Lonchura striata: one gene and its partner. The protein of the gene in region 1 interacts with the protein of each later gene in a biochemical or structural test. Links are inferred from orthologs where the notes say so. Each region holds a gene or a part of one and is shown on either strand. Other genes may lie near its edges.

The links.
Region 2: the proteins of MAPK9 (region 1) and MAPK8IP3 form a complex in vitro, tested with the Homo sapiens proteins (2 studies listed by BioGRID). The link is inferred for Lonchura striata from reciprocal best matches to the Homo sapiens genes MAPK9 and MAPK8IP3.

The regions. Positions count from the first base shown.
Region 1 is NC_134617.1:7,225,293-7,241,173, reverse strand, and holds the start of MAPK9 (mitogen-activated protein kinase 9), read right to left. Parts: upstream 8,701-15,881; 5' UTR 8,576-8,700; intron 4,790-8,575; 5' UTR 4,737-4,789; coding exon 4,615-4,736; intron 764-4,614; coding exon 634-763; intron 1-633. Other genes in the region: GFPT2 (glutamine--fructose-6-phosphate aminotransferase [isomerizing] 2), read right to left, coding at 10,958-11,002, 11,602-11,763, 12,194-12,361, 13,001-13,128, 13,749-13,863, 14,001-14,158, 14,328-14,448, 14,790-14,887 and 2 more. UniProt on the Homo sapiens protein: Serine/threonine-protein kinase involved in various processes such as cell proliferation, differentiation, migration, transformation and programmed cell death.
Region 2 is NC_134618.1:1,658,643-1,675,577, forward strand, and holds the start of MAPK8IP3 (C-Jun-amino-terminal kinase-interacting protein 3), read right to left. Parts: upstream 7,742-16,935; 5' UTR 7,609-7,741; coding exon 7,291-7,608; intron 1-7,290.

The DNA of each region.
Region 1 (15,881 bases):
TTTGGGCCTCACCAAAAGCTTACTTAAAAACAAACCTGAAAAGCTAATTGCAGGAAGTTTGAGATTTGACTGCAGAACTCCAATGACCAGCAATGTTTCTAGTTCATGTTAATACTAGCACACAGCAGTCAGATAAATTCTGATATTCTTGTATTTGAATAATGAAGTATTGACATCATGGCTCACTTTAGAGAGTTTAAAGATTTCAAAATTCACAAGTATTGTCCATAGCATTTTGTAGGCAGTGCTGTAGCCCTGAAAACCTCAGCAGTTAAACACTGTATTTAATAAAATCTTGCCTAAACTCAGAAGAGTTACAATGGTCAAACCCACAACCCACCCCAGTGTCAAACAGGCTTTGCTGCACGTAGCTTAAAAGGACAAATGCAACCCAGCAAGGCCTGGTCTCTAACAGACACTGATGGCAGCAGGACCTCCTCCCCTCGGTACTTCAGACCCCAAGCAGCTCACCCAAAAACTGAGCCATACATTGTGGAGAACTGCATTGCCCACAGCAAATCTTTCCAGCCCATCTCTATTTCCATTCCTGTGGTTACTAACAGCAAGTGAGAGAGCAAACCCTGAGCTTTTTTGATAAGGCAGAGTAAGGAGAGAACACAAAGCCCAACTCACATTTTTGTGATTGACGCACTTTAGAAGAACGAGCTCTCTGTAGGCCCTTTTGGCGTGGGTTTGGTTCTGAAAAGGACGACTCAGCTTCTTCACAGCAACATTGATTCCCAGCACTGTATCAAATGCAGCACTACAAGTGTTCAAAGACAAACAAGTTGAAGTCTGTTTAAGGGAGAGGAGGGGGCAAAAGAGAGGCAGAGTAAGGAAGGAAAGAAATCAAGATTTAAGACAAAGTATACCCACTAGCTTGTTGGTACTACACCTGATTTTAATTCAGAAAAGAAACATCCTTTAAAAACTACACAATCTTTAATAAATACAAGTAAGTCAAACAGAAGCACTGACATTCATCAAAGTCTTCCTGCTCTCCTTTTTGTTTTCAAGCTTGAAACTGCTGACTTGAGACTCAAAACCAAAATTGCAAGATCTAAAAATATTTTAGGCTTGTTTAAAAATCAAGAAGCATTGCAGCCTAATCTGTATATTTGGAGTATTTTTTGGACACTTTGCTGACTGACAATCATTTAGTATTTACAGCAGAAATTTCTTTTAGCTAAAGAAGAGTCACAACCACATCTCCATGATGTGATCATGGGATCAATATTCTCCTGTATGTGGATAGTTTGCAATGATAAAAAAATATAGTGCCTAGCAGAAAATTGCATTCATTATCTGCTGGATGGAAAAAAATGCATTGAATTGAGAAATAAGGAAAACTCAGACTGAAGAGAGGAATACAAGAGTTTAAAAGTGACCATGACCATTAAATTTACTCTGTTTTTCACTTGTGTTTCTTCCTTCCCTCTGCAGTTTGAGGTCAAAGTTACACTTACTTTAATAGCTGAAAGAATCTAAAGCTAAAGTTCTGTATAAACAAGACAAGACTAAAGTGGGAATAGTCTTCATTAGTAACACAGACTATTTGGCAAAATATATGTGAATTCCTAGCACGTGATACTCAGAAGTTCCAGTCTATAAACAGTTTTAAATAAGGATTCCCACATTACCCTATTTCCATTTAATGTTACTTTCATAGGGTAGGAAAGAATTCTCATTCACATTTTTTCCAAGCACATTTAAGCTCTTTGTGAGATCCTTTCCTATCTCATCAAGTTATATGTGACACCAGACTTAAAAGGGCCATCACACTACAGTATTCTAACAAAAAGTACAGCTTCTCTGTGAGTACAATACTCAAATTATATCAAGTTTCCTAGCATGAAGTCACTGTTTTCCCTCCTGGAAAAAAGCAATACCACCACAAAGCAGGGCGCACCCAGGAGATGTGTTTTCTTGGGACATGCCTCCCAGTTTGAACAACCATGCCACTTACACTGAAGACCTGCTACCATTTATTTCAGCTTACTTCTGTGTAGTGCACAAGTCATTGCTGAATGTTACAGTAAGTCTCTGATTTAAACCCTTTATGCCTGTGCAAAAGGAAACTCAGAGTGGGAGAAAAGCAACTGGCCAGACAGTTGGAGAAATTGTTTTCCTCCCAAACATGAAAGCACTGATATTTCAGTATTCACCCAAAAGATGTTACATGTAAATTAAATGTTATACGTTAATGCCTTTAATGTTTAATGACTTCCATATCTTAATGGCTATACCTGTGAATTAGTATCAAATCAGTAACCATCAGGGTCTGCATGAATTAGCTGTAAATCACAGGGCAGCAGCAGACAGAGGAATAATTTTAGGGGAAGTGTCCCTCTGTGATCTGATAAATCAGATGTATGACAAGCCTCAGTCTTAGCAAATATGAAGAACTCCACCTAAATCTCTTATTTTGGAGATTGACTAGAAGATTTAGGAAACCAAGGACAAAAAGGGAAAAAAAAGATGTCAGGAAGTTAAAGACAAAAGTTATTTTGATTCAGTCCAAAATGGATTACCAGACTTTAGATGTACTAATACTTCGGAACAAAGTGCAGTCCGTTAAGTATGTGTACTTTGTACATAAAATACAAAAGGTATATCCAGTTTCTCTCCTGGCCTGTGTTCTGTGTGAGCTAGAAATATCCTCAACATAAAAACTGAGTTACTTTTTCATTTTCCTAGAGCTCTCATTTACCATTTTCCCTAAGTATATATATTTTTAAAACTACTTATTTTGCAACATTTTAGTATCACAGTTAAAATTACATGGAGCAATACCAATGGAGTATCCCACTAATATAATGAGAAAAAAAGCATAAATTTAGACCTCTCCTAGCTAAAGTGACACAGGTTGTATTAAGAATTCCTCATAAAATAAATTAAATCTAGACAGAAAACCACAGAAAAACTTTTCCTATTTTTTATATTAAACATGGGATGATAAAAGAGCTATCACATCTGTGTGTTACCCTAATGTTGTGACATTTTTTTCAGCCAAACATAGCAGGATAGCACTCATCTTACAATGATTTTTCTACAAAAAACTGGGAAGTAAAATGTATCTTTCCCTTGCATAAAGATTTTAGGAGAAACTAAGCTGTTGCACCTTGTTCAATTTGAGCTATTTGACATGAAGATGAAAATTCATGCAATGTTTCACTCTGCTGTTCCATAAATCAAGTAGTTTAAAAGAAGTCAATAAATCAACTAATTTCTTCTTCCTCCCAACACGATGACCTTATCACTACTTGCATTTAATTCTGAAGCAGAGATCCAGACCAAGTAATTTGGCTTAAAAATGCTCTGCTTCTACTGAAAGGAGAAACACTTTGAAGCACCCAAATTCCTGGACGCCATCTCAACCAAGCATAGCTCTGATAACACCAACACCTAGAGAATGTCAGTACTATACTAAATCTTTCCCAAATCCTATATGACCAAGATCTAGGACCCCCTCATCACTCAACCCACTGAAAAAGAATGAAATATGGTGTTCTCATTTTGACTGCTTGTCACCGATCAGCAGGGAAAGAGGGGTAGATAAAAATTTTTAAAATAAATGCATGGTCTCACAGAAATGCACTCTTTCCCTACTTATATAACTTATTATGATTATGAAAAGGCCAAGAAGACATGGGCAGGTGTTGTTAAGGAGCTGTTCACAGCACATGAGTCATCACACTTATTCTGCAGATTTTATAGATGAAGACAAACTGCAGCCTGGAATTCAGAGCATGAACAGCCCACCATGTGTTGTGATGAAGTCAGTATCACAGAGTCCCTGAGTACATCTGTTTGCTCCCCTGTTTATGGAATGAAAACCCACATCAATAAACATTTCTGCTGTTACCAAGTAAGTTTTGCCCAACAAAATATGGGCTGGCACTAAATTGTGCAGAATGGATTGCTGCAGTCTAAAAAACATTTGAAAGTGTTTACCTTTAGCTGGCCCAGAGGTGTGGTGCCATACAAGAGACTAAGGTTCAGGATCAGCCTAAAGACTCCCACGTCCTGGGCCAGTGGAGGCTGGACACAAAGCTGGGGTGACACACCAAGGGAGAGCAGGCCAGCCCAGCCCCTCACACAGCATCCCTTTCTGGTTAATCCATGGAGTGACAATGACACTGATTTGCCTCATCCTGCCAGTTAATGGCAAGGCACTGCATTGATGGCTCCTAGAAATGGACAGGAGTGATTGGGAATAAAAGAGGGGGAAGAAAGGGGGCCATGATGAAGAAACGAGTAAAACCCAGAATCTCTCATCACTGTAATACCTTACACTGCAATGTCAAAACTACAAGGGCAATGGGAGAACTAGAAAGAGAAAAAAAGTGATTAATGAGAAAGGAAGAAATTTGTTTACCATTCTAATTTATGCAGTTATTCAAATATTAATTTTCCCTAAAAACAGAACAAAAAAAAAGAGGTTTGCACATGAACTATAGGAAGCAATTGGTTTAGAATTTATTTAGTCCATAACCCTGTAACAAGAGAATTTGTTATCAGTGTTTTATGTTCTGGTACCTCTATCAGAAATACATGCAAACTTTGCTTTATATTTATAGCTTTTAATATTTAAATAGAGTAATTATTACTTACCAAACAATGCCCTGTGCCCCTGATCCTATGGGCTTCAATTGCTGGTAACGTTTTAGTACAGTGAATGTTGAATCTGCAACTTGAACACTGTAAAACTGACTATCACATTTACTGTCAGTCATGGTGTAGTGTCATGTAGTTTTCTCTCTCAGGGACCTGGCAAAGTTTTCAAGATCTTAAAGAAAAAGAAAGAAAACAAATGTTCAATATCTCACTAATTTCATGCAGACAAGATGGGAAATATTATACATATTTTAATACATATGAATTTTTCAACAGCACACCATTAAACATTCATTCATAAACAAACATTTTCAGTTTTGTGCATTACCACTACTAATGAAATATACTTGTAGACAGACAGCAATTACAGCTTTCACAGCTTAAAGGGAATGTGTGTTCCTACTCTAATCCCTCAAACAAAAAGCATCTAAGTAAACAACACTAAAAACAAAACCACCCAAATACAACTCTCTACTCCTTGAAGGCAACTCCATAACTTAGAACTACTGCTCTGTGCTAGGACTATACTAATTTCTGCATTACAGGAAAAAAAATCAAAAAGTATGTTATTCAAACACTGAGAATACAGATAAAAGTGACAACCGACATCCATGGAGTCCATGGACAGAGGGAAATGGGGTTTTAATAAAAGACTTTATTAAAATAGCAAAACAAGTTTCAAACAAAACTGCCCCCCAAATCCCTGTGCCTGCTGCAATTTCTCCAACATCCCTGCCAGCCTTGTTCAGTAAGAAATTTCAAGGAGGGCTCTGCCAGGCAACCCTTCCCTGATCCAGACCTATGGCAACACATTCTCCTTCCCAATTTATACACACCACAACACCCTGCACTATCAGTCAGAGTCCTTGTTGTACTACAGAATAAGACTTTGTGGTCCTTGTAGTACTACAGAATAAGACTTTTGTGCTACAGTGTAGAAAAGACTTTCCTGCCACAATAGTGTAAGTTAAATTAATCTGTCAAGAATGAGTAAGAGGTAAGTAATTACATCAGAGAGTACAGTAATGGACTCAACCTCTTTAGCTCTGAAGTGCTACAGTAACAAGAGCACAGACCAACAGTTTTCCTGGGTGTCCATCCCTCTTCCAAACCTTACAAGTAAATTACCTCAGTAATTGCTGAAGAGCTCTCTAACAAATTCTCCCCTTCATAATTTTGCATTCACTATGACAGATAGTGCCATTAGAGCCCAGAGTGATTTGCACAGGCAAATCACTTGAAACTTGTTCCTTAAAACAGGAAATGCAAGCAGCCCCTTCCCCCGGAGCATCTGTGCTCTGTGCTGTCTGCTTTGGTTACTGGAAGAGCTCTCTTCACTGGCCCCACCGAGTATCTGTGAGCCAATGCAAAACAGAAAAGCCTCGAGGACAACCCAGACACCCACCCTAGAAGGGCACAAAGCCACACAAATAACACTTAGTTCCTTCAAAAATTAGGATTTCTGTCTTCCTCAGTGCATGTAGGAGGCAGCAGCATCTTTTCCATGTTTTAAGTGAGCTGATGAACTCAAGGAATCTGCAGTAAAATACGAGGAAGACCTCCAAGACCTAATAAAGACTGAGTTTAAACCAAACTGTAATAGTTTTAAGAGATTCTCAAGAAATGTCTAGAGTCCCTTTTACCTTCTAGTTTCTCAAAATCTCTGCAGCATTTTAAGAGGCAGACATTCAACTGGGTCATCTCCGGCAATAATTTAGACAGTCAGTTTACCTGACATTTCCTCTTAGAAGCTTTAGGAAAAAAGCAGAGGAGAAAGGATCAGCAAAGGGAGAATGTGGGCTACCAACTTTCTGCTCTGTCACAGGGAGAAGGAGGAAGAAAACAGTATCTCCTACACAATAATATTAGAGGCAGTCAGATGCAGCTCCACAGCCAGCTAGCACTAACATGAGACCACAGGATGCCTCAAGGGCAGCTCCCAGACTTTCCTGGTACATCACACCCTTCCTTCCAACCCTTTTCATTACTCCACAGCTATGCACTCTGAGGTACCAAGTGTTTTGATTAATAGTTCCTAGGCACCTATGGTATTTTCACTGAATCTTCAATATTGTAAGAAAAGTACAGCTGGAAGGTCAAGATCCTCCTCTGCAAGGACTTAAGAGACAAAACCAAAAAAGTACAGATACCAAGTTACAGGATATCAACTTCTTAGCTACACAAGAACAATGCTGTACCTCTTCAGGAATTAATGAAAAAAATTTCTGTAACAGGGACAAAGAAATATGGGAAAACAAAATTATCCTGATCCTGAAAAACTCTTCCCTTTAAGAATCACTGTCTGCACAAAGCCACCTTGCAAAAATCACTTGGAGATGAGCATAAGCTCCTTAGAAAAGCCCCAAAGAGAGAAATGGGATATCAGAACACTCAAGTTTTATGTATTTGAACACATTTACAATTCTCTTTGCAAAGCAGCTCTCCATGAGTCTTGACTTTCACTCAGGCTTCAAGTTGGCTGGAATGCATCAGGACATATATTACTTCAGACGTACCCACTACTGTAAAATTAGCTGCCATGCAATTGTAGCTGTTCACAGCACTTCAGACAATCCATTCTGGGGGCAAGACCCACAAATAAAAATAGATTTCCTGCTGTGCAAATAAGAAGTATATCTGTCAAATAAGTTTCTTAGTATTTACCTGTTATTCTCCTTCTAGAAAAATAACCAACACACCAAACCTGCCAGTAGTAGGCTTATACACAATTGCAGTGAGAAATCTTTAGAAGCTGGAAGCAACTGCATTACAGAATGCATCCTGCATTAAACAGATACTTCCCTAAAATGTATTTATTAAAATGGCAATTTATTATTAACCAGATTTGTACTCTGGATATCTTCAAGTCAAAAGTTTATGAAACAGACTGGGCACACATTCCCAGGGCTGTTTTGGTTACAGAAATGTTATACTGACAACAAAACACAAGAACAACATGAAGCTTGCCTGGATTTTTAAGCCTCAAGCTAAAATTCTACTGCTGACAATATTCACAATGAATAGATATACACACACACGTGTATTTATGAAAACATATGGAAAAATCTCCCCCCATTCTCTTATTGACCTTTGCTAAAGCATTTCTAATTCAGGTGTGCCCTTTTAAGTTTTATCACCCAATAGCATCAAGGGTTTTTTTTTAATTTTTACAGCAGTATATATCAAAAGGAAATAGTCCAACTACAAAATCACAGTGAGCTAGACCTCATTCCTCTACTGACTCTTTAGAACGAAAGTGTAACAAAGCACTAGCTGGGTAACCCCCAAGGATTACAGCAGTTCAGAGACAGTTTGCAACTGAAAACTCTTGGAAAGTAGACCTTTTTCTTTAAGCAGCCCACATTACTACTGGCCAAACGAAGATTTCACCACTACCTGTTACAGTGAATAGCATTCAGCTATTACACACAGACGCACTGAAAGGATCTCAGAACTCTGCCAGGGCAAGCTGGTGTAAAGAGAGAAAAAGTTTAAACATGCATGTGCTGCAAGCAATTTCGCCGTTCATGTAGGAAGCGAGCAGGAAGATTCTTCCCGCATCTTTCCTAAAACTTCTGCTAAGAAATCGCTACGGCTGCAGAGAGCCCGGGCTGGCCGCGGCCGCGGGACCCGCGGCGCTCGGCGCTGCTGCGCTCCGGGACGGGGCTCCGGGGCCGCCGAGCCGGGCACGGCACGGAGGACGGGGCAGCAGGACGGGCAGAGGCGGCCCCGCGGGGCCGGGCCTGCGGCTCGGGGAAGGCGGGGATCGGCCGCAGGAGGAAGGGCCCGGCCCTGCCGCTGCCCCGCGTCCCTGCAGCGCGCCCGGGCCCGGGCAGCGGCCCGCGGGGCGCCCCGGCTCTGCCCGCGCCGCGGGACGAGCCGAGCGCTCCGTCCGGCGCAGGGCTCGTCCCGCCCCGGCCCCGCCGCCCCAGCACGCCCCTCGCGGCCGCCCCCTCACCTGGGTCGGACGCGGCGGGACCGGCCCCAGCCGCCGCCTCCCGCTGCCCCAGCCACAATGGCCTCCCGGCGCTCCGCACGGCGCCGCCCCTGACTGACAGCCGCCCCGGCCAATCGCAGCTCCCGCCGGAGAAGCTCAGCCAATCGCGCTTGGGGGTGGATCTTACTGACCACTATATAAGGCAGGGCGCTGAAGGACCGCAGTGACGGGGCAGTTCGGCCCCCGCCCCCGGCGGGGTGTCGCTGCGTGATGTCACCGTTTCTCGATTGCCATGATGTCATGCATGACGTCATGGCGCCACGGGAGTTATGTCACCGCCTGACGTCAGCCTGTCACGATAGTCGTGATGTCACCTGACAGCAGTGCTGTGGCGCCCATCCTGCTGCCGGCTCCTCACTGCTCCGGCAGGCCGGCAGAAGCCGTGGCTGAGGCGAACCCTGCCCTGCACAAGCACCCCAGAGTGGCAGCGGTGGCATGGCCCGGTGGCAGCGGTGACATTCCCGGTGGCAGCGGTGACATTCCCGGTGGCAGCGGTGGCATGGCCCAGTGGCAGCGGTGACATTCCCGGTGGCACCTGGCACCCCGGCACAGCGCACCACAGCAGGCCCGACCCCGGGGCTGCCATAGCCCTGCAGCACAGCCTCCCCTCAGCTTTTCCCGAGGGATGGCTCCGGAGGGAAGGGATTCATTCCCTCCCGGAGCTATTTTCAACCCCACGCAAAAATCAGAAGCCTTCTCTCCATTACGTACCCCCCGCCCCGACACGAGGAGTGCTTGTTTTTAAAACAGGTGCTGCCTAAAAATAAACTCAATTTGCCACCTCTCCTAGGACTGATGAGCGCTTTCATTTCTGTGATTTCTGTTCCCACAGATGATTTTAGAAAAATGTACCTGTAATTTTTTAAATAAATCAATTTAATGTCACAAATAGACCAGATGACCTCAATATGCCTTTATAGTTCCACTTTTTAATATGAAGAGAATATTACTTCTAGATCAAGAGTAAAACAGGCCTTTTCATGCCAAAACATGTTAGATACAGAGTTACATATTCTTGGCATTTAGGTCACATTAGTAGTATATTTTTTGTTATGATTTTGGTTTTATTATTGTTATTAAAAGTACTAGGGAAAGTATATCCTATTATAATAAGCTAGTGTAACACTTTCAAGCTCTTAAGTAAACATTCAAACACTTTTTCCATTTAGAGCCAAGCCTGCAGAGGAATATCATAAACTTTACTGTTAAACTAACTTTACATTTTAGTTAATAAAATGAAGAAAAATTAAATACTATGCCTTCTGGCCATTTAGAAATAAAAACTAAACAAATGAGCAGAGAACTTATTGTGTGTATCTGCCTTTTTTTTTTTTTTGCAGGTTTATAGGTTCTTCACTACTGCAAGTTGGTTCACAACTATCAGTGTGTTTTTGCACATCTATATGCTACTAAAATAGGACTTTCTTCAGACTTGAGATAAAGGTCATCAAGTTTAAAAAAAAAACAAAAATGAAATAAATAAAAACCCAAACACACATACACACACAAAGAAACAAACCACAAAGTAAGAAGAATTATATAATCTTTTAATTGCATTGTCATTTCATTGTACCCTCTTCAAACAAAAATATCACTTGAGAGACATCCAGTTCCCTTATTCTGTTGCAGTATACATGTTATGCAAATAAAAGCTAGGGTGGCATACAAAACAAATGTCGTTCTGACTTTTCAGAACAGTTAAAAGAAGCAGAAATTGAAAACATAGCTGGGAATTTACAGCCACAGAAGAACTTTGCAAATGACTTTTTAAATATGAAACACAGATTCAATGGGGGAAGGGAAGCTGGGAAAGAAGAGGGGACAACAAATTTCCAGTTTGAGGCTGAAGGAGGAAAATCCCTAATAACTGTACAGAAGTATCAACACGCTCAGTGTTTACATTCTGAGCATTACCAATGTTACAGATAAGCAATGTACTAAAAAAATAACTTAAAAAAGCTATACAAATTGTACTTATAAATACTATATCTTTGAAACTAGTTATGTAGTGTGGGCTAAAAAAATGTTCACAGTTACTCTGGAGAGAGCTGTATATATATATATATATTGCACAGTAAAAAAGTTCATTCAGTATACCATGTGTAAACAACTTTTATCTTCTTTGGTAATTTCAGGACTTAGAGGAGTATTTGGTGGGAGCAAAAGCACTTGGGTACAAGGCACATCAAAAGCTTTTAAAGCTGCAAGATAAATCCTTCTGACACTTTCCAGTTAGCACTATCATTCTCTTTAGAAAAAACATTTACCTATCAATTCAGAACAACACATTATACAAGTATAACTCAGAGGTCTGGTGACAAAGACATCAGCTGTTCTTGGCTGTCACTCTACAGTAACAGATTTGGCCAAATTTCTTGGAAAGTCCACCTGGAATGAAGAGACAGTCTTTCAGTATGACAGAGTAATACTGGCATTCTGCATTTGAAAGTTCCTTCAGTGTGATTTTTCTGACTTCCTAATGAGTTCTGTTTGATTCTATACACATTAACACACACAGCAGGCTATTGATCTGCAGGTAATGACTTGCAGCTGAATTCATCTGTGCTTCCAAAACCCTCCTAACAAAAACATATTCGTTTTGCATAGGATACCTTTCCAAAGCAGTCATCATTGTCAAACTGACACATCAACAAACCAAGGTGTACAAAGCACTGACCTATTTTAAGTTAAAGTACAATATCGCATTTCAAGATTAGGTTCCCTGGAAAAGTCCCATTTGCACTCTTAACTAACCAAACAGCTAAAGAGCTTTGCAATTTTTTAGAAGGATACTAATTGAAAAAGACAAAATGGAAGAATTGGCACTGAAATGTCACCTCTATAAGCACACTCACTATGAGATTCACTAGCTGTTTTCATAGCTAGTAAATCTTAGATATGCCATATAACTGTGTCTGTCAATTTATACTGGTAGAAGGAAATTCAAAACTGCACTAAAACAAGTGTTAAATATAGAAAACACTTACATCATATCCTCTGAGAACAGCCAGGTGAAATGAAAGTAACTGTAGAGGAATGACACTCAACACTCCTTGAAGGCAGTCAACTGTATGAGGCAGCTCAATAGTTTTGTAGGCAAATTTTGAGCTTTCAGTATCTTCTTTAGAACACAGAATGATTGGGCGACCCTGAAAATAAATTTTTGCATTGTTAAGTGAAGAGCTAGCCTAGAATTGCTTTGAAATATTGTTCACAGCATGCCTGTATGTGTTTGAAGACATTCAAGTAGCTAACAAAGGCAATGCCAGTCTTGCATAATGACTCTTGACTTTCCCTATATTGTAAGATTTGAATGTTTTCACCCTGTAGAGATTTAACATTATTCCATTTGCTTCAAAACAAAAAAACCCCAAAACAAACAAGCCATCTGAAAGCAGTTTTCACTGCTGATATTAACCTGTAATAAAAACCTTCAATGCAGATGTAGCATCTTATTTATAACTTAATAATTAACAATAATCAGCAGTACATCCCTTTCCAGGTGCACAGTCAGCAGCAGTGCAGTGGGCACAATCTCTTTTCCTATGACACAGGAGAAGTTAATTAGTTGAACACTACCTGCCGAGCAGTGATCTGTTGCAGAGCATTCTGGCACTTGGTGAAACAAGGATCCTTCATGATCACCATGATAACAGGCATTTGTTTATCTATTAGGGCCAAAGGCCCATGTTTCAGCTCACCAGCCAAGATACCTTCTGAGTGCATATAGGTGATTTCTTTTATTTTCTAGGAAAAAAAAAAAAAGCCTCAAATTATTACTAAATCAGCTGAGAAACAAGAGCCACAAAAATCAAAACACCCAGACTGTACCGCTGCCACTTAAATTCATGTACCCAGCATCAAGCATTAGTGAAAGCACACGGGTGGCTGCTGGGGTTTGTAGCAGGCTGTGGCCAGCAGCAGAGCTCGCCCATGCACATGGAGTAACCAACAAGGAATTTTAGGAACCAAACACCCAGCACAACCTTGGCTACTGCAGTCTACCTTTAACACACCAAACTCCTCTGAGTGATGGGTATGTGTCCATTTTACCAGTGTTCATAACATAATTAATGAGTTTCATGCATGAGCATCTCTTCTCAACATCAGCACACTGTTTCTGATGTTTTCAAATGGGTCAGCAACTTAAATTGCTAGTTTCCTGATTTTAAATAGACTAATTAAACACCGTGTTTATTATGTGAAAGAAACAAGAAAGTGGTATCACATCCAGGTTCACCTTATGTGTATGTTTAAATACTTCTAGTTATAAATAGTTTTATTGCAGTAGAATTAAATTGTAATGAAATAATAGAAATAACCTATTTTGCAGAATCCACAAAATATTATTTTAAATAATATCAAAGAATATTGAGAAGTTCCTACCAAAGCTCCTTCCAGACATGTGGCGTAATTATACCCACGGCCCATAACCAGCAATGATCTCTGTTTGTACAGTTCAAGAGCCAAATCATGTATCTTCTCATCCAAGGACAAGACTTCTTTAATCATTTCTATTGAGGTACAGAAAAACAAAAATTGATTTTTTTAACTGGAAAAAATAGTTCATTTGTACTGAATGAACAGAATGTACAGAATGTTCTAATTATCGAATAGGACAAATACACTTAATGTAATTCAACCATTAACTTAGCAACTTTGACTGCAGTTTAAGGATATTTTCTCCAGCCTTACTTACAGTAATAAATTTAAAACAACTATTGGTTTAAACAGTGTTCATAAATCACATTTGAATTTCTAAAGGAAGTTGTTAAATTTCCATTTGAAAATCACCTTGAATTAGTTTCATTTTATCTGTCCTGATTTAAAGTGGGAGGTTTTAAAAATTTCAAATCATGAATGTAGGAGATCAAGTAATATTTCTCATACAAAACTACCTTATTTTAATTAGAAAACCCACCCCGTGAAATTTCCAATCTTCCTGCCAAGTTTCTTGGAAGGGCACTTTTAAAATTGGCAAACAGTGGAGAAATGAACAGTCCATTTTTCTCATATTGTCTGCCTTTCAGGATGAGGGGGAGAGTGAAACTTAAATGAAAAAGAAATATCCCTGAGTAGTATTTTACACTGCAAACATCCCCTATGCCTCCTCAAACCCAAAATATCAATATACCTGGCAATGATTTTAGTCCACTTATGATTTCCTGTCTCCTTTTCTGCAAGGAAATTCTGTCCTCAGACATCATTAGGCCGAACATTACAAGAGACACGAATTGGCTGGTATAGGCCTGCAGACAAAACAAAACCATTTAGCAGCTAATTCTGCAGAGAGTGAATATGATCTCAGGTTGAAGTGCTGCAATTAAAATTTGAGTTGTATTCCACAGGGCTGAAGGGTGAAAGCCAAACACTGAACAGCAGTTACCTTTGTGCTTGCCACACCAATTTCAGGCCCTGCATTGATGTGCACACCACAGTCAGTCTCCCTGGATATTGAACTTCCAACTGTGTTTGTGATGCCGACTGTCAGAGCACGGCGTTCTTTACAATACCTCAAGGCCATGAGTGTATCTGCAGTTTCACCTGGAAAACATTCACACCTTCACTTCAGGTTGGCAGAGATAGTAATGATTCCTGAAAAGCATCAAAGCCTACACAAGTGTGTTCTAGATAACTGTACCCACGCTTACATGATGCAAAGTGCAATGGAGAGCAATCTTAGAGTGCTCACTCAACAGCAAATGCAGCTCACCTGACTGGCTTATAAAAAAGCACACATCATCCCTGAATACAGGTGTGTTTCTATCCAGGAAGTCACTGGCAAGTTCCACCATCACTGGTAATTCAGTTAATTCTTCCAGGACTTGTCGAGTCTGTATTCAAGCAGAACACAATATTTGTTAATATTGCCATCCACTAACATTTGGACATTCTACAGGTCAGAGAAAATCTAAATGAATTCTTATTAGAAAAGCTGGTAAGTACAGCTTACCAGAACTTTAAAACCAAGGTGGAAAAAGTTAATTTCTAGCATGGTAATTAATGGCATTGGAGCATTAATAAAGAATGTGGCAATAAGTAAAGCTAAATAAAAGGGTGAGACCCCTCAATGAAAGACAAAGTCTGAGATAGAAGAAAAAGCAGATGAAAAGCTGTTGTCTGAAAGCCCAGCAATTAAGTTATAAATGCATTTCGACCAAGGCTGGGAACATACAGCCACTGCAGCGTGGTAACTGGTCCCACAGCCAATAATGATCAGTCTTCGGCATCTTCTGATTTCTTTCAGATGATCCTTCAGTCCCCCCAGCAGAACTGCAAACAAATAAATATACAACGGTGGTTTTGATTTTCTAGATAGCATATTTACAAATTTCAAACTTAGTGAAGTTTGAAAGGCTGTTCTCCTTTACCTGTGCTGCTCTCAAAATTCACCCTGCCTCTCATTGTGTTGACAACTGATTCCGGTTGTTCAAAGATTTCCTTTTGCATGAAGGCACTGAAGTTACCTGTATAAAAACATGACATGACAATACTTAGGTTTGTTACTTTACATCTATTCCAGTTACCAAGAGACCTTTTAAGACTAACTTGACTGTGTTAGCCTAAATAAAAGCTTAGAATAAGCAAGAAGAAAAGAAGGATGGATAGGTCACTTTATCTGGTAGGTTCCATTTCCCAGTACTGACAAGGTAAATAAATTCCTTCATAAGGAAACATCTGTGCTCCCCTTCAATTCTTAATTTATAGTCAAACTTTGCCAACAACTACAACATGTTAACATTAGTTACATTTTCACTAGATACTGCAATGAATAGAAGTATCTATGACTTTTCCAAGGCTAAAATGGATAGGGTCCCAGGCTGCCCATTCTCTCTTGGTCTCAAAACTTGGAATTGTCAGCTCCCAGTACAAACGGTTTGCATATAAGGTAATTGTCACAACAAATTAACAGTTTTCTGCTTCATCTACTACACAAACAGTAACTATCCATTTTGATGATACTAATTTACAGATGTTTCAACCCACCCTTCATGATTTGCTGCAATTCCATCTGCAAGGTCTGGATGGCCCGGGAAGGATCATCACTAGCTGAACGCTCCAGACGGTGAATCGAGAGCTTCCCATCAGTTACAGCTGCAATGTCATCATCTTCTAAGAAAATCACTCTGTTGGTGTGCTCAATGATAGCACTACAGAGAAAAAAACAGAAGCAAGACAAACCTGACACATCAGAGTTGGTAATAACAAAGCAATTAAATACGCTACGAGCACTTCCAGCCCTGCCTCTCTTCCTTTTGGGCAGAAC
Region 2 (16,935 bases), on another chromosome or scaffold:
TTAGTTTACAAGTTTAAAAGTCTGCAACAAAGGGACAGAAGATCAAAGACCACGTGCAAGTGAGAAGCAAAGCAGCCATGGGTACTTGAGCTCAAGGAGAGCACGATGGTGGGAGGGCAGGGCCCCAGAATGGGGGAACAACCTACCACTGCAACCATAATCACCTAGGAAAGAAGGAAGGAAGCTGACATCACCTGACACACAACCCAATTCCATTCCGGGAGCAGCAGGGCAGCCCATGCAGATGGTGGAGTCACTGTCCCTGGAGGTGTCCAAGAAATGACTGGACGTGGCATTCAGTGCTTTGGTCTGGTTGACAAGGTGGCAATGAGTTCAAAGGCTGGACTGGACTTGATGTTCTTGAATGGTTTTATTATGTCCTTGCCAAGACATTGTTCTCCCCTGCAAAGTACAATTCTCCAGTTTTGCTAATAAAGAGATAACTGATTTAGATCAACCAAAACATGTATTTGAGCTCTCTTCCAAAGCTACCATTGACTGGTGAAAGAAAATAGTAAAATACACTGAAATGACACCTCTCTTTATTGTGGGGAAGGGAAGGTACTTCTCCATGCTCAAGTTCTTCAAAATGTATGGTACGTCACACTGTACACTTCTCCCATACATGCTGTTTGTGAATGTATCGCCAGTGAGGTCTTTCAGTCCTTTTACAAGCACAGAATCCCAAACCCAAAGAGGGCAAAACGCTAACAAGCTTTTGGGCCATATGCCTTGAAAATACCCAGTCATTAACAGATCAGTAAATTTTCCTGTTTTCAATTAGTATTTACAATTATTATGTACAATTATGTTTTGGGAGAAACTTGGCACGTAGTTTCAATGGGAATACCTTTCCACAAAGCCTTGCGCCCTCTGTTGGTGCTTCCTGTCTTGAGGGGGACAAGCAGGTCTGCTCTGGAATGGAATAGCAACTCACATTCGTACCACCAAGTGGGATGGCCAAGACCCAGGCAGAAGAAGAAAGATAAATAAGAGCCTGAAACTGTTTTTATCAGACTCAGTTGAACATCATGTCCTGCTTTGAGCAAGTCCCTTCCAAGCAGGGCACTGGGACAGAAGGTAGAAACCAGCAGGTGTTCATGAACAAAGGAGGCCATGTCACAATCCAACTCAGAAGCAAAAGGTTCAGTGCTTCCCACTGAATCCTGTCCTGCAAGGCAAGATAGAGCTTCTCTCACTTGGGACAGCCCTTGCTTCCTCCTCAATGGCATGAAAGGATCCAGCCTGCTACAGCTCATCAGAGGCACCAAGACAACCAATGATGATGGGGATGTGGGTCATCTGCATCCTTCCCAGTGGACAAGAAAAAGAATGAAAGCGGCCAAGGTGCCTGCGCTAGATGGAAGATTGTATCATTTTCAGATAAATGAAGACTGACTGGGGGTTTTTCTTGAAACTTCAGTTATTGCAATCCCTCTCCAGTCTTGCTGGGATAAGGGGGAATGGCTTTAAACTGAAGGAGGTTAGATATAACAAAGAAATAATTCCCTGTGAGGGTGAGGAAGCCCTGGCACAGGTTGCCCAGAGAAGCTGTGGCTGCCCCATCCCTGAAAGTGTCCAAAGCCAGGGTTTGGATGGGGCTTGGATCAACCTGGTCCAGGGGGAGGTGTCCCTGCCCATGGCAGGGGCTGGAACAAGATGAGCTTGAAGGTCCATCCATCTGCAATGGTAGTAAAGCCAAATCCTCACAGTCTTCTTGGCTTTTCTCTTACAACTGCTTCCTGAAACTCCAGTAGTAACTTCTGCCTACATATACCTGAGGAAATCCCGAAAGTATCATTGACAAATCAACCTGCAGAGCTGTGAACAGAAAGGGACCAGGCAGTAGCTGCTCCACTGCACCAGAGAAAAAAGTTTCTCATCAAAGCTTACCCATGGATCACAATTTGACTTATGCAGTTAACCCTGTTGAGGAGAAACCTAGCCACCACCTCTAATCATCATTATCAACTGATATTCAGATTACCCTGAACTGCTTTTTAAATAAATTGCAACTCACAGTGCTTTTTACTGTTCTACTTTCAAGGCAATTTTTAATAACATGCTGGTATTTATGAATATTAGTAATTGCCATGAGCTTGAGTGAGGATTTGTATGAAGGATCTGTGTTTGGACACAGATTTTTTCCCCTCCAAGATTAGTGAGAGTAAAGGTTACCAAATAGCAAGGACTAATTGACATTATATGTGGAAAGCCTGATTCCTCACAGAGAAGTGATTTAGCAATATGCATCATATGGCCAGTCTCTATTGCAAAACAGAATCACAAACTGTCTGTTACATTCCTTTAAATTAACAGAACTTGTAAACAGAAGAGTCTCTAAATGCATTTCATCCCATCAGTGAGGAATTCATACAATTTGTTAAGAAAAATTGTAATAACTGATCATATGTTTATAGCAAGTGGCTTTCCAACAGCCAATGTCCTATAACATCACCTCTAGTAAGCTAGACACATGTATAGTTTTCACCAAAAAATTTTATTCTGCACACAATCTTCTGATGGGGAAAAGATAAAAAAAGGCAAGGGAGGGACAAGCTCCTTCTGCATCTCTCGGAGCACAACCCCGAAGCATTTGTACTTCAGCTCTCAGTGTGCATTGGGTAACCTTCATCAGACCAGCTGGGGAGAAACCAGCAGCAGGACACACCTCCACAGCTCAAAGTCAGCACTGGCTGATAAGCTAAGGTCCCCAGAACAGTGCAGGACATTCTAAATCCTTCAGGATGCCTCCTGGCTGCCAGCCTGAGTTCCACCCGTGCTGTCACCCCACTCCACAGCCAACCAAGCCTGCATTGCCCTTCACCTGTAGAGCCATGCACAAAGGATGAGACAAAGAGAAAAGAGCAGACTGCCACAACACTGTCAAGATACCAGGAAAGGGAAGAGAGCAGTCCCTGCCCTGGTATCCTGTGGGCAGGAGCGAGGGAGGCAGCACCTGATCCAGAATGGCAGGCAACACTCCTGCTGCTGGCAGAGGTAGATCACCACCCTCACTTTGGACAGAGAAAAGGCATCACTGAGTTATCCCCCAACAAATGGCTCCCAGTCCACCTTCAGGGGAAGGAAGGAATTATCATCTCCTTACAGTTATTTGTATTAACATCAACCCTAGTCCTGCATTAGAAGATACGTGATGGGATGGTGACAGACTCTGTGGTATTTAAATTATTCCGAGATTGTAGAAAGTGTCTATCTTTCAGCCCCGCTGCCAGAGAAGTCATAATTCATCTGTGCTGGTTTTCAAGGTAGTTTATTCTTGCTTATCTATAACATATTCAGTCTGCCCTGCAGCAGGACAGCATGCAGGGCTCTGTCCCTCAGTGGGATGTTACAAACATTATGTACCAGAAACTATGTGTGCTATATTTACAATAACGTGCCAATATCTATCACTTACGTTGAAGAGTGTGTCCCCAGTCTAAACCAATAGAAAAATGCCAGCACTACAGTGAAACATGGCAAGACATGAAGAAGAAGAAAAAGGACAAGGCACGCCAAATTTCCTCCATCTTGCCTCCTTTTAACCCCTTATCTAGAATCCTAAAATTCTACTTTTGCACCCCGTCACACTAATTATTACTTATATAAAACACTCAGAGCTTGTAATTCATCCTGTAAGATTGAAAACTCTTTTCCATGGACAGAGATCACAGACAGTGTCTCTCGGGGCACTGTCCAGGGGGGTTCCTGACCCCCTGCCAGGGTCCCAGGCCTTCCAGGGCAGCCAGAGGGATGCCCTGGATTCCCACATCTCCCCCTCTTTTTTTGTCACACAACAAAGGAGCAAGTGATTGAGATTCTTTCTTCTGGTCCTCTTCAACAGTCTTCAAATGTCTTCTGTAAATTTGTTTCGCTGAAACAGTAGTGAAATGATGCAAGAAATCTTCCATCCCAAACTTGGAGTATCCTTTCAAATTGCTCTCCCCAGATGTTTGCCTAAATTGATTTTTAGCTTACAATCCCATTCAGTTTTATTGCTACAGGTTTTGTAAGGCAAGGAGTGCTCAGCATCCTAACACTGCCAACCTTTCACATGGGGCATTGTGCTGATAGTAGGCCAATGCAGTGAGCCACTGTCAATTGTAGGAACTCTCTAAACAAAGGCACAGAGTCTAAGCAGGTCCTGGACAACCTGCTCCAGCTGCCCCTGACTGAGCAAGGGTGGGGGATTCAATCTCAGGAGATCAAAGACACACAAGAGGAGTCTGTGATTCCACACACCACCACACCGCAAAAGCAATAATGGCCCTACATTCACACATATGTATTCTATGTTCGTATGAAACAGATGGAAGAAAACAAAATCACAAAAAATCTGGTGCAATCCCAGATCTTCAGTAGCTGGGAGGTCATGGAAAATTGCAATAATCTGTACTGAGCTCCGTAACGACAGCAACTGACAGCACTGCCTCATGCTAAGGAACTTCGATTCTAAATCCACTTGCCCAGATGTTTCTGTTGCCCTATTTTAGGACAAGTGAAAAACATGGAATCCCTACAACCTAAGCATTTAGAAAGTAATGCATTCATTTGTTTTTGGCAAAGATTGATTTAAAAGACAACATACAGAATTGTCTTAAGACAGTAATTTTCAAAAGGAAACATTCCTTTATGGCCTTAATGAAAAGGAGGTTGTTCCTCTGCCTGTGGCAGGGGTGTGGGAACTACATGATCTTTAGGACCCTTCCATCTCAAACTATTCTGTGTTTCTATGATTGTAGTATTAGCCCTAATTTAACAAACCATACCTGTACAGTCTGTTTGTGCACAACTGCTGCATAAAGATGAACAGCAAGGTGTGATGGCTCTTCACAGTGGTAATCAGCCAATACAATGCACATTTTAATGCCAGAACAATGCCCACCTGTGGTTCCAGTTACTTTGAATTTAATAAATTAATATAAAGTAACTATAACTCAGGGTCCTTTGACAGGATATTGCAAGAGAACAGATCCATTTTTCATCTCCAGCCTCTCAGTGTCAATTTAATTGTAGTAATTGGCACGCATACACAGAGAGGAATCAAAACTAAGGTCAAATCCTGTTTCCAGGGGAGGATCTTCCCAGTTAGAAGTGAAGATCCCACCCAAGACTTGAGTCACAGCCTAGGAAACTGATGCTGGTGGAGAGGTGGCATGGACAGTCCCTGGTCACTGTGGCAGTGTTTCAGAGCAGCAATGCAAGTTCTGAGAAGAAAAGTTTTCTGGGTTTTGATTGTGTACAATAACCTGGTAGCCAGCAGAATTCCCTGTCATACATAGACTTTCACCCCCATAACACACAATTTACTGCAGAGTAAACAGTGCATGGGATAAACAGGTACAGAGAAATAATGTACTTTGTTATATATGGAGGAAAACAGCAGCCATGTATTCCATGTACGACCTTGTAATAAGGGCTTGTAGAGGCAGAATTCTCATTTATTCTCATAAGAAACACATTATCTATTCCTTTTGATAACAAGCCTCCTTGCAGACACTTCTCCCACTTACACTGAGCTATGTGTAACAATGACAGAGTATCTTCTTCATCATCATCATCACTGGCATTTTTTAAATCTCACTCTCTAAAAACACCATTGGTAAATGGTATTCTGCCATGGTTCCAAAGTTTCCTTGCGGGGAATTTAACTGCCATCAGTACATTTGCTTCCAGAAAACACATCCTGTATCTATTAAGACCAGAACAGAAATGCACCCCAGTCAAAAGACGCAAGATGATTCCAACTGGACTGTTCCAACCCCCATTGGCAGTCCCATTCTTTTCCCATAAAGAGTAAATTTTAAAAATTATTTCTCAGAAGCTGCAAAATGCTGTCTCTACACAACACAAATAAGCATCATGTACTTAGAATAATTTTTGACCCCTACAAGCATTCAAAAGAATTTTATGATCATTTACTAATCTATTAATACATAATTAAAACTTGGGACTGAAACTTTTAACTGACTGGCTCTTGCTTTCAGTATTAGTAATGGACGACAAGTGTCCTCCCCACTGAGTTACCAACTTTCTTGCCCATGATTATTAAGCAACACAAACATGTCTATGAAAATCTCACATCTGCTTTACACCATTCTCCAGTTCAACAACTATTTCATTATTACCACTTATTTTATTTTATTAATTACCCCATATCAAACCAGAACTTGACTCCTAGGAAATCAAGTGAATCTTAAATCTTCTGCTCTTCCTTAGTCTTAAAGACAGAAAAACCCCACTTCTAAAGAAGTTTAAAGGAGATGATGTGGTGGGGATGATGTGGTTAGGATGGACTGTTTTCAGCAACAAAGCTCTATCCTAGCTCACAGACTGTCACTCCAAGAAGCTGAACAGCAATCCCTATGGCCCCCATCCTTCAAGGCTGAAAGGATGTTCTATTTCACCAGGGACAGGCGCAGACGCAGCAAGATGACAGCGTGCAGATCACCTCCCCTCTGTCTTGTCTACATCCGAGTCCTTGTAACCGGAGGATTCTTCTTCCTCTCCATCAGAGGGATTGGATTTCTCATGAGCCACTTCCAAACAACGCCACCAGCTGAGCAACGTTGCCCCCGCTCTCCCGAGAGCGCATCCACGCTCCAGGAAACGGCAGATACCGAGTTGGGAACGATTTTATTAAAACTCAAGGCACAGTTTTGATACAAATAAGCTTCAAAAGTAAGATATTATACTCTAAAGGCAATTCCTTGCTGCAACGAAACAGCTTACAGCCGACATTGAGAATGCTGGATGACTACACAAATTACCCATTTTAAAAACTATATTTTACACCACAAATTATGCTGACCCCTCCGGATGCTGTTGGCATTTCAAACTAAAATCCTAATTCTTCAAGAATTCCACAGGATTGCAGCTATTGCGGTTTGTGGTTCGGCTTTTTTCCCTCCCGCTGTCAGGGGCAGCTCAGCCGCAGTGGCCCCGGCCCCGCGGGGCGGCGGAGGAGCCGGGCTGGGCCGGGCCTGCCGGGGCCGTCCCGGGGACAGGAGCACCGCGTCCCGCGGGAGGGGATGCGCCTCGCCCGGTCCCGCCCCCGCCCTCCGCTTCTAGAAGGAACCGGCGACCGATGCCCCGGGGCGCCCGCCGCCCCCCCCGCCTCCTTTTGAACCAGGTCCACCGCGGGGGAGCGGGCAGTCGGTCGAAGGTCTGCGAGAGGCGGCCGAGGCCGCAGCCCTGAGCCGCCCCCGCCACCGCCTCGGCCCTCCCACTGCCCTGCACTGGGGCCCCCGCCCGTGGCCAAAACAGTCGCGAGGCGGCGGCGCTCACCTCCTCGGCCTGCTTGCGCAGCGCCTTCTCCCGCTCGTACTGCGTGAGCAGCTGCTCGTTGTCCTCCCGCAGCAGCTCCAGCTCCACCTCGTGCTCCTGGTTGTCGGTGAGCACCGAGTCTAGGTTCTCCAGCACCGTCACCACCAGCGGCATCAGCTCCTTCACCACCTCCTCGTCGTAGCAGTGGATCAGTCGCTCGAACTCGCGGTAGATGCTGTTGGCGAGGCCCGAGACCCGCTCCGACATCACCGACCCCGAGCAGTAATCATCGCCCGGATACCCCCCCACGCCGCCATCGTCTAGCTGGATCTCCAGCATCCTGCCGGCCGACAGCCCTCAACCCCGCTCCGCTCGCCTCCGCTTCGGGCCCTGCTGACACCGCCACCGGGCGCTGCCCCGCCCCGCACGCCGCGTCAAGGTCCGCGGGCACCGGCCGGGGCGGAGCGCGGCGGCACCGCCCAGAGCCGCTAGATCGGGGACGCAAGCTGCCCGTGCTGGGAGGAGGCGGGGCGCCGCAGTGCTTCTTGCGCCGGAGCCGCGGGCGGCGCAGCTCGCGGCCCGTCGCGAGCCCCGCGCAGACAAAGCGCTGCGCACCGGGGCCCCGCGAGGCGCGATGGGGGCGCACGAGGCCCCGCGCTGCGGCGTCACGCGCAGACACCGAGCGGGGGCCAGCGCGGGCCCGGGTCGCGCCGCATCCCGGACACGCGCTGGCTCCGGGAGCCGCGTTAGAGACCCGTCACAGCCGCGGTAGTCGTATTTCCGAGATGAAGCAGCCGTAGTTACTACAGAGAAAGCAGACAAGGATCTGTTCAGTCAGGGATGAAGAAAAAGCCAGAGGGCCAAATATGGCCATCTCAAGTCTTCAAAGAAAATTCAGCACAACCACCGAATTTAATCAGATTTCCCAAATCAACAGCAACACACACCAAATTACGGACAGCAGCTCCAGCAAATTATGGGCGGTAGCCTCCAGCACCCTCAACAGGTGTCACAGAAGTTAGAGTCTGCCACATCCTGGGCTCAGCTGGGCTGTAGAGTTGGAAGAAGACAGCAGGAATCATTATTCTCTGAGAACTGAGAACAGCCTGGCAGGAGAAAGAAATAAGGGGTTGATTTGGAAAAGGCTTCCCACACCTTCATTTGGCTTAGAGCCCTGAAGAGTGTAATTCCAAGGTCGTGACTAGCAATGACCCTAAAAGCTTCATACTGCAAAAAGGGAAAGAACTTTAACCCTACCCAGAAAGCCTAATTGCAGTGGGAATATCACATCTCACTTATAATTAAGAATTTTAAGTTTTATGACTGTTTTGTTCTATGTTACAACAAACACAAGAGTGTGCTTTATTAAATGCAAGATTGCATTGAAAATATTTTGAATAAAAATATACAGGTGAACAGGGAGAGAAGCAAGGCAGGCAAAGAGGTAAGACTTATTCACTGATTCACTAATTCACTAATTCCATATTACACTGAACTTCTAATCTTCTGTAACCTAGAGAGCATGTAAAAACATTTATAAAGTTTTCTTGCATTTTTCCCGCATACATAAGAAACTGACACAATGGACATGACACAAACTAAAGCCTGTTGAACCACAGAGACTGATGAGCTCATAGCATTACCCACTCTTCTGATTGTAATCCCAACAGGTCTAGCAGGCATCCCTGAGGGGAGGGGATATCAGTTGAAGTGCATCCTCCTTTCTACAACAGAATCCTGGTTCAGGTCCAGTGACTGTGTTAAAGCTCCTGCTGAAAGGCAGTGATTGCCTTAACTTAAATCAATCACTAAAAGATACATTCCTGTATTTATAAATTCATAAATAACTTCAAGTCTAGAGATCAGTCAAGAAATGGCAGGAATGCTAGGTGCTGCCATGCATGAGAAAAAATTAAAATACCACTTCCAGGTCAAAGTTGGCAAGCAAAATATTTGCTTATTCTACCCTTTTGGGGGTTTATTGCATCTAGCATAGGAGTTCAAGTTGTTATTTGCTTAGCACTAAAAGCAAACTAAAAACTGACTGTGCTATACATATGCAATTGTGTTATGGCTGCAAGGGCACTTTGCTGAAGAGCTTACCTTTCCAAGTAGGCAAAGTAAAGGCACAAGGAGTGAGAAATTGATAGAAACACTGAGACTATGAAAGGAAAATCAGGATTCTTTTGCAATAACCATATGACCTCAAATTAACTATTGGGGATTTTTTTTCCCTTAGACAGGTGGAACTTCGCTTTGTGAAAGAATAAGTATTTTTTAGGTATCTTGGTTTGAAAGACAGGTGTCTGCCAAGGAATGTGGGAACTTCTCTTGGAAGAGAAAATGTGACTCCCTTCCCTCCAAATTATTATAACTCTGAAATTATGGGTCTTTTGGGAAAAGATAGGATAAAAGGAATAGCGTGTCTTTACTAGTAGATATATAGATATAAATATAGATATATATGTATAACAAGGCAAACAAACATCAACAATGGCAGCAGCAACAACAAACAAAATACCAGAAACCCAATCACAGCCTTGTCTCAGCCGCAGACACCCTCCCCTTTGGTGCAGTTCTGCTCACAGCCGGCAGGGGCACTGGTGGCTCCTGGCCTGGCAGTGCGCATGCAGTGATTCCCCCCGGCTGCAGGGGGCGCCGTGGCGCAAGGTCAGCCGCTTCTCCACACGGTGATGGAAATTCAGCCGGGAGGGCGGAGAGAAAAGGGGCTCTGTTTACAAACCCACAGGGGAAGCCAGTCCTGGTGCCCGTCCAGATGGAGAAATGGGCTGTAGCAGGAATCTCGGAGCGCTGGCTAGAACGGCTGAAGTTCGTCACCCAGGGTGACAAAAAAAATGTAGCAGAAAACTGCAGCCTTTAGCAGGAGCTGCAATAGTTGGGTGGACACAGTGTGTTGGGTAAGGGTGTAGCACGAAAGCCCAAGGCAGTGGCAGAAAGCAGTGGGCTGGGCAGCAGCAGCTGGGCTTCTCCATAGCAGTTGCCACACATACCCAGGAGACACACCCTCAGGATTCCAGGGGTCCTGGGTTTTCCCTGGTGGCACCCTAGTAGATGGTGATGATCCTTTCCAGTCAGATCAGGCATTACTAAGGTTCCAGCTCAATGGCTGCTCTTAGGAGCAGATGCTCACCCACAGTAAGGAAGAAAGCAGTGTTAGAAATGAGACACATGACTCAGCCAATATATCAAGCAGCAATTCAAATTATTAATTAATATGGTAACGTATGAGCAAACACAGCGCAGGGTACAGTGGTGGGGGTTTTCCCCTCCCACTGCACACTGGTTGTTGGTCTTGCTGGTATTTATTGATCATAGTAATGCAGATTCATAAGCTTTTCCCAGTTTCTACATGAGCTTTCAACAGTTTCCGTTTCTACCTTTAACATCACAATTCTATACCTCATCATCAACATGATGGTGATATTTGGTTCTTTTCCAATTTCTATAACCTATTGTGTATATCCCAGTATGTGTGTCCAGATGGTGGGGTCCAACTTCTATTTTTGGGGATCATTAATCTATGGTAGTGATGTCCAACTTCCCATTTTGAAATCATCTATCAGCAACCTTGATGTCCATCTTCCTTCTCCAGGAGCTTGGGATAGGGTCCCTTCCCTTTCTGTTTAAATTATTTATATTCTAAAGCTACAGCTTAAAAATCCTTAGTACTCAGCAACATTCTAAAGTTATAATTCAAAAGCTCTTATTACAAAACAGGTTAAGAGTTATACATTCTAAAGCTACAGTTTAATAACTTTAATACTAAGCAACATTCTAAAGTTATAATTCAAAAGTTCTTATCGCAAAACAGCTCAAGACTGTTATATGTAGTCAGTGTAATTCGTTCCAGTATAATATGATAAGTGTAATATTTTATATTGTTGGAAGTACACATGCTGGCACTGGGAGGTGCCCCCACATATTCGAAAACCGGTTTCTGACAAAACCTCATTTGCAAACTAATACATGGGGTTCACCCACAGATGGGTCGTTTCTCAAGGTGATACAGGAACGCCCAGGTGCTGATCATCCAGCAACCATCTATTCTAGATCGGGATCACTGAAATCCTCCTGGTTGATACATCTGAATGCCGTGTTCCCGTAACTCCATCAAGAAGATTCATCAGCACTGGACACCGAATTGTTCCATCCCAACACAGAGGAAAGAGACTTTATGAATATGTGGGACTTTGAATGTGAAGAAAAGACGGATTGCCTGCTTGTACCAGGAGGGTGGTGTGTGGGCATCGGGGAAACCTCTGCTGAGGCTATCTGCTCTGTGACACACCCAGTCCCGATCCCGGGCTCGGCACTGTCTGTTTCCTTGTGGCTGGCTGAGAGATAATTCGATCTTAATAATACAATTTTTATTTTTTAATTTTTAATTTGGCTGGATCAATTTTTATCTATAACAAGACTTATAATTGTTATTTGCAAACAAAAAACTGGTTCAAAAGCCTTCTTTCATGCTTTCCTCGGTTGTTTATTAGAACTCATCTTTATAATTGTCTCATGGCCTTCTTCCACACATTTCGTAACCACAACTGCACAGGTTGCCTTTATGTGCCTGTCATGAAACACAACTTTGTATTTCACAGCAGTAACAGGTTGGACTCCACACGGCGGCAGCAGCTCGACTGTTCCCCTCTGATCCTGAGAGCAAGAGAAGAGCCAAGCCCTGTGGAGTTGTGTTTTTATATGCTTTATTACATCTTTATTCTGTCATGGTTTGTTCCAGTGTACCCCCATACTGTATTGGTTTCTCCCTGAGTTTTCCTGCCTTTCCCCAAGTGTCGGTTTCCCTGGAAGGTGCCGAGTCAGTCCCCTGCCCTTTCCCAAGTGCCTTGTCTGTCAGTCGGTGCCCCTTCCCCTACCTCTGGAAACTTCCATCCAGGGCACCGAGTGATTGGATGAGGGCCTGGGACCCCTCCCCTGTCTCCCCCTCACTGGATCCCCCCATGTCCATCCCCACAGAGTCACTCCTGTCTGTTCCCCACTGGCTGATCGGCCCCCCTCCCTCTCCCTATGGAACATGTTGCCAGCACTCCTCAGTAGCTCTTGTTGGCTGGCCCCCTCCGGTGCTGTTGGATCCACAGGACCTCAATAAACATCGGATTTTTGCCCCAACAAGTGCCTCTCCTCATTTCCTCGCCGTTGGAATCAGCAGCGCCCTCAGGACCCGCAAAGCACTCTCCAAAGCCCAGCTGGTACAGTGGCGGGTGCTTCCACTCACCCTACTCGCCCCGCAGGAGAGCTAGGCGGGGCTGGGGACAGGGGTCTGGGGCGGGGCCGCGGCAAAGCCCAGCCCCCTGACCCCCCAGCAAAGTCTCCAGCTATCTTTGTCCTTCCAAGAGAAAAGCCCCCGGCTAAATCAGCAGGCAGCTGCACTCCTTCTCCCCTCCTCAGTCACTTCTTTTGTCTCTCTTAAGTGCTGGTCATTATCATCTCTTAGGCAACAGATGGGGAGAGAGTTCCCTGGGGGGCAGAGGGGATCCTAACATTAAGTTTCTACTTTGATGGCACACAACTAATGAAAATATATTATTTTTAGTACCGAGAATCTACCCTTTAATTAGTACTGAGCTGAAATTCAAGGTGTTGTTTCTACAACAAAAGATGGACCAGAGTAACATATGACAGTTGTGGTAGAGGAAGAATTTACGTAAACCAGGTTTTATGTGAAAAACAGAGTTCACTTTCTAGACTTTAAAAAGTTTAATAAGGATAAAAGAAGAATTCAGCATCGGAGTGCTTTTTTTTTTTTTTTTGGTGAACAGCCAAAGAGCACACGAGTATCTTAAAATCATGTTCTCTACATACAGTTAATTTGCTGGGGTTACATGCATATTCATTATGTTATAGATGAGTGAATCTCACAATTAAGGCGTGAACATTATATGTATGTTAAAAGAAATTTTGTATAGTTATGTGTCATGGTTTGACACTGGCACAATGCCAGTGCCCCCATGAAAATGTGATCTCTACCTTGAATGCTGTGAAGTGGAATCTAGAATAGAGCAAAGCAGGCCCAAGCTTAATAACAGGAAAAAAACTTTATTAAACTACTACTACTAAAGAAAAGAGAAAACTAAAGAAGGGGGGAAAAAAACCACACAAAGATCAAATGAAAACCTCGTAAAACATTCCTCCCCCCACCACCCAACTCCAACAAACCACAGTGAGACACAATCTGGACCCCAATCAGGTTTCCACCCTCCAAGCAATCGATACTCAGTCCATCGAGGGAACAGAGTCTCTCCTGTGCCACAGACCCCCCCCCAAGAAACACAGCTCCACATCCTGTGTTTCCATGTCACACATGGCACCGCCCGGAGAAAAAGTTTGCCATGGTGACCCTTCTCCTTTCCATGCACAGTGCTCTCACCACCAATGCATGGATGGTCAGACTGCCTTTAGGATTTTTCCTTTCAAGGATGCCCTGCCAAGAGGGGAGAAAACAACAGTTCAGTTTTTCCTTGTTTGGGACCACAGTCCCCCCCCATTTTCCCCTGGGGCCGAGGGCTCAAGAACAGAGATCTTCTTCTCTTCTCTTCTCTTTTCCTTTCCAGGGCAAGGGGGCGCCACCACAAACCCCCTAACCTTTCCTCTGTTCACTCCACTTTTGTCTTTTTCTCAGCTGAAGCAGGTCTCTTGACTCACTGGCATCCTCCCAAAACACAGTCCCTCTTGAAGGAGAAGATTTGGTTCAGGTTGTGGCTAACATGGAAAAGTCCAGCCAAAAGCCACTCTTTGTCCCCCTCCCATCCAGAATTCCTCCTTTCAACATCCCATCCCAGGGTCCAAGGTGTCCCTCTTCCTCTCTTTCAAACCGAGGAGGGGAAAGGAAAATTCACAAAGCTTCCATTTCTCAAGAAAGGGTTAAAAGTCCGAACTCCCAGGATGGCTCGATGCCCGGACATCCAGCAACTCCCACACAACTGGGCACCTTGCAGCTCCCCCCGCTCCTCCTTCCTTGCGGCTTTCTCTCTCCCTCTCGGGAGAGGAACTCTGGGGGGGGGAAATGGAGACATCCCAGATTTCTTCCACCCTTCCATCTGCAGGGGCCAGCCCGGTTCCAGTCCCTCCACCCTTCGGAGTTACCTCCATCAGGCCATGGGGGCTTCCCCTCCCCCACCCAGCTCGTGGCTGGGGGGGGGAAGGTCTGCACTGCACGCTGACCGGAACCAAAGAGAGCGAGTTCCCCTGGGAATTCTGCTTTCAACCCCTCTGTGTTCTCAGAGGCGTGTCTACTTTCAATTGGTCAATATCTAAATTGACCTCTTCCTTCCGGGAAAAATTATCTTTCCGTGTCAAACCACGACATTCCACCCTTCGCCTCTGAGAACACAGACTACAAAAGAAAAAAAAAATCATTATCAAAATTACATTCAACACATTCTACATAAAACAGCAATTTACACTAAATCTCCACCCCAATTCATCTCAAAACCCAACACATGCTTTGCTCTTATTCCTCCTGATCCCATTTCACAGCATTCACCTTATCACCATCTTATCTTATCTTATCTGATCTTATCTTATCGATTTCCCGGTCAGGGAACCAAATGTCATGGTTTGACACTGGCACAATGCCAGTGCCCCCATGAAAATGTGATCTCTACCTTGAATGCTGTGAAGTGGAATCTAGAATAGAGCAAAGCAGGCCCAAGCTTAATAACAGGAAAAAAACTTTATTAAACTACTACTACTAAAGAAAAGAGAAAACTAAAGAAGGGGGGAAAAAAACCACACAAAGATCAAATGAAAACCTCGTAAAACATTCCTCCCCCCACCACCCAACTCCAACAAACCACAGTGAGACACAATCTGGACCCCAATCAGGTTTCCACCCTCCAAGCAATCGATACTCAGTCCATCGAGGGAACAGAGTCTCTCCTGTGCCACAGACCCCCCCCCCCAAGAAACACAGCTCCACATCCTGTGTTTCCATGTCACACATGGCACCGCCCGGAGAAAAAGTTTGCCATGGTGACCCTTCTCCTTTCCATGCACAGTGCTCTCACCACCAATGCATGGATGGTCAGACTGCCTTTAGGATTTTTCCTTTCAAGGATGCCCTGCCAAGAGGGGAGAAAACAACAGTTCAGTTTTTCCTTGTTTGGGACCACAGTCCCCCCCCATTTTCCCCTGGGGCCGAGGGCTCAAGAACAGAGATCTTCTTCTCTTCTCTTCTCTTTTCCTTTCCAGGGCAAGGGGGCGCCACCACAAACCCCCTAACCTTTCCTCTGTTCACTCCACTTTTGTCTTTTTCTCAGCTGAAGCAGGTCTCTCGACTCACTGGCATCCTCCCAAAACACAGTCCCTCTTGAAGGAGAAGATTTGGTTCAGGTTGTGGCTAACATGGAAAAGTCCAGCCAAAAGCCACTCTTTGTCCCCCTCCCATCCAGAATTCCTCCTTTCAACATCCCATCCCAGGGTCCAAGGTGTCCCTCTTCCTCTCTTTCAAACCGAGGAGGGGAAAGGAAAATTCACAAAGCTTCCATTTCTCAAGAAAGGGTTAAAAGTCCGAACTCCCAGGATGGCTCGATGCCCGGACATCCAGCAACTCCCACACAACTGGGCACCTTGCAGCTCCCCCCGCTCCTCCTTCCTTGCGGCTTTCTCTCTCCCTCTCGGGAGAGGAACTCTGGGGGGGGGAAATGGAGACATCCCAGATTTCTTCCACCCTTCCATCTGCAGGGGCCAGCCCGGTTCCAGTCCCTCCACCCTTCGGAGTTACCTCCATCAGGCCATGGGGGCTTCCCCTCCCCCACCCAGCTCGTGGCTGGGGGGGGGAAGGTCTGCACTGCACGCTGACCGGAACCAAAGAGAGCGAGTTCCCCTGGGAATTCTGCTTTCAACCCCTCTGTGTTCTCAGAGGCGTGTCTACTTTCAATTGGTCAATATCTAAATTGACCTCTTCCTTCCGGGAAAAATTATCTTTCCGTGTCAAACCACGACATTATGTTACTGCAATGTGCTCCCCCCCAGTATGTGTTATTTGGATGGTTTTGGTAATCTGGGCATTTGGGAAGGTCGGCTTGTTGCTATGGTAGCACCTGACCTCCAATCCGAATGTGAGAAAGGACAAGGAAGGACTTGATCGACAAGGTTCTAGGAGAGGCTAGAGGTATAAAAGGCAGAGCATTCATCTTGAAGACGAGTCAGCCACATTGTAGGCAGCCACAGGAGGCTTTCGGTGCTTTTTCCCCCTTATTTAGTATTTTTGTTATATTTTTGCTAAGGTTGAATAAACCTTTTAAAATTTTTTAAGTGAGCAGGTGTTTCTCACAATTAATTTGTACATCACTAAACATTCCTTTGAGTTTTTGATGTTCCAGGAACTCTCGTAAAGTTTTAACCTCTGACTTGTCTGCAGGACATTCTGTAGATTAGGTCCATATATTTTATTTCTTCCTGTAGTTCTATCCTGTTGTTTCACACTACCTGATACCACGGAGTCAATAAATCTTTCCTGGATGCTTATGCTCTGTTTCTTGTCACTGTTATCTTAACACTTGGAGAGGCCAATCCGCACATGTAAGAAAGAGAATAATTGCTTTACACCATTTTCTGAGTTAGTTACATAGAAGTATTTTAGTGTCTATTTTAATATTTTGTTAAAGTCTATGATATATTTAACAC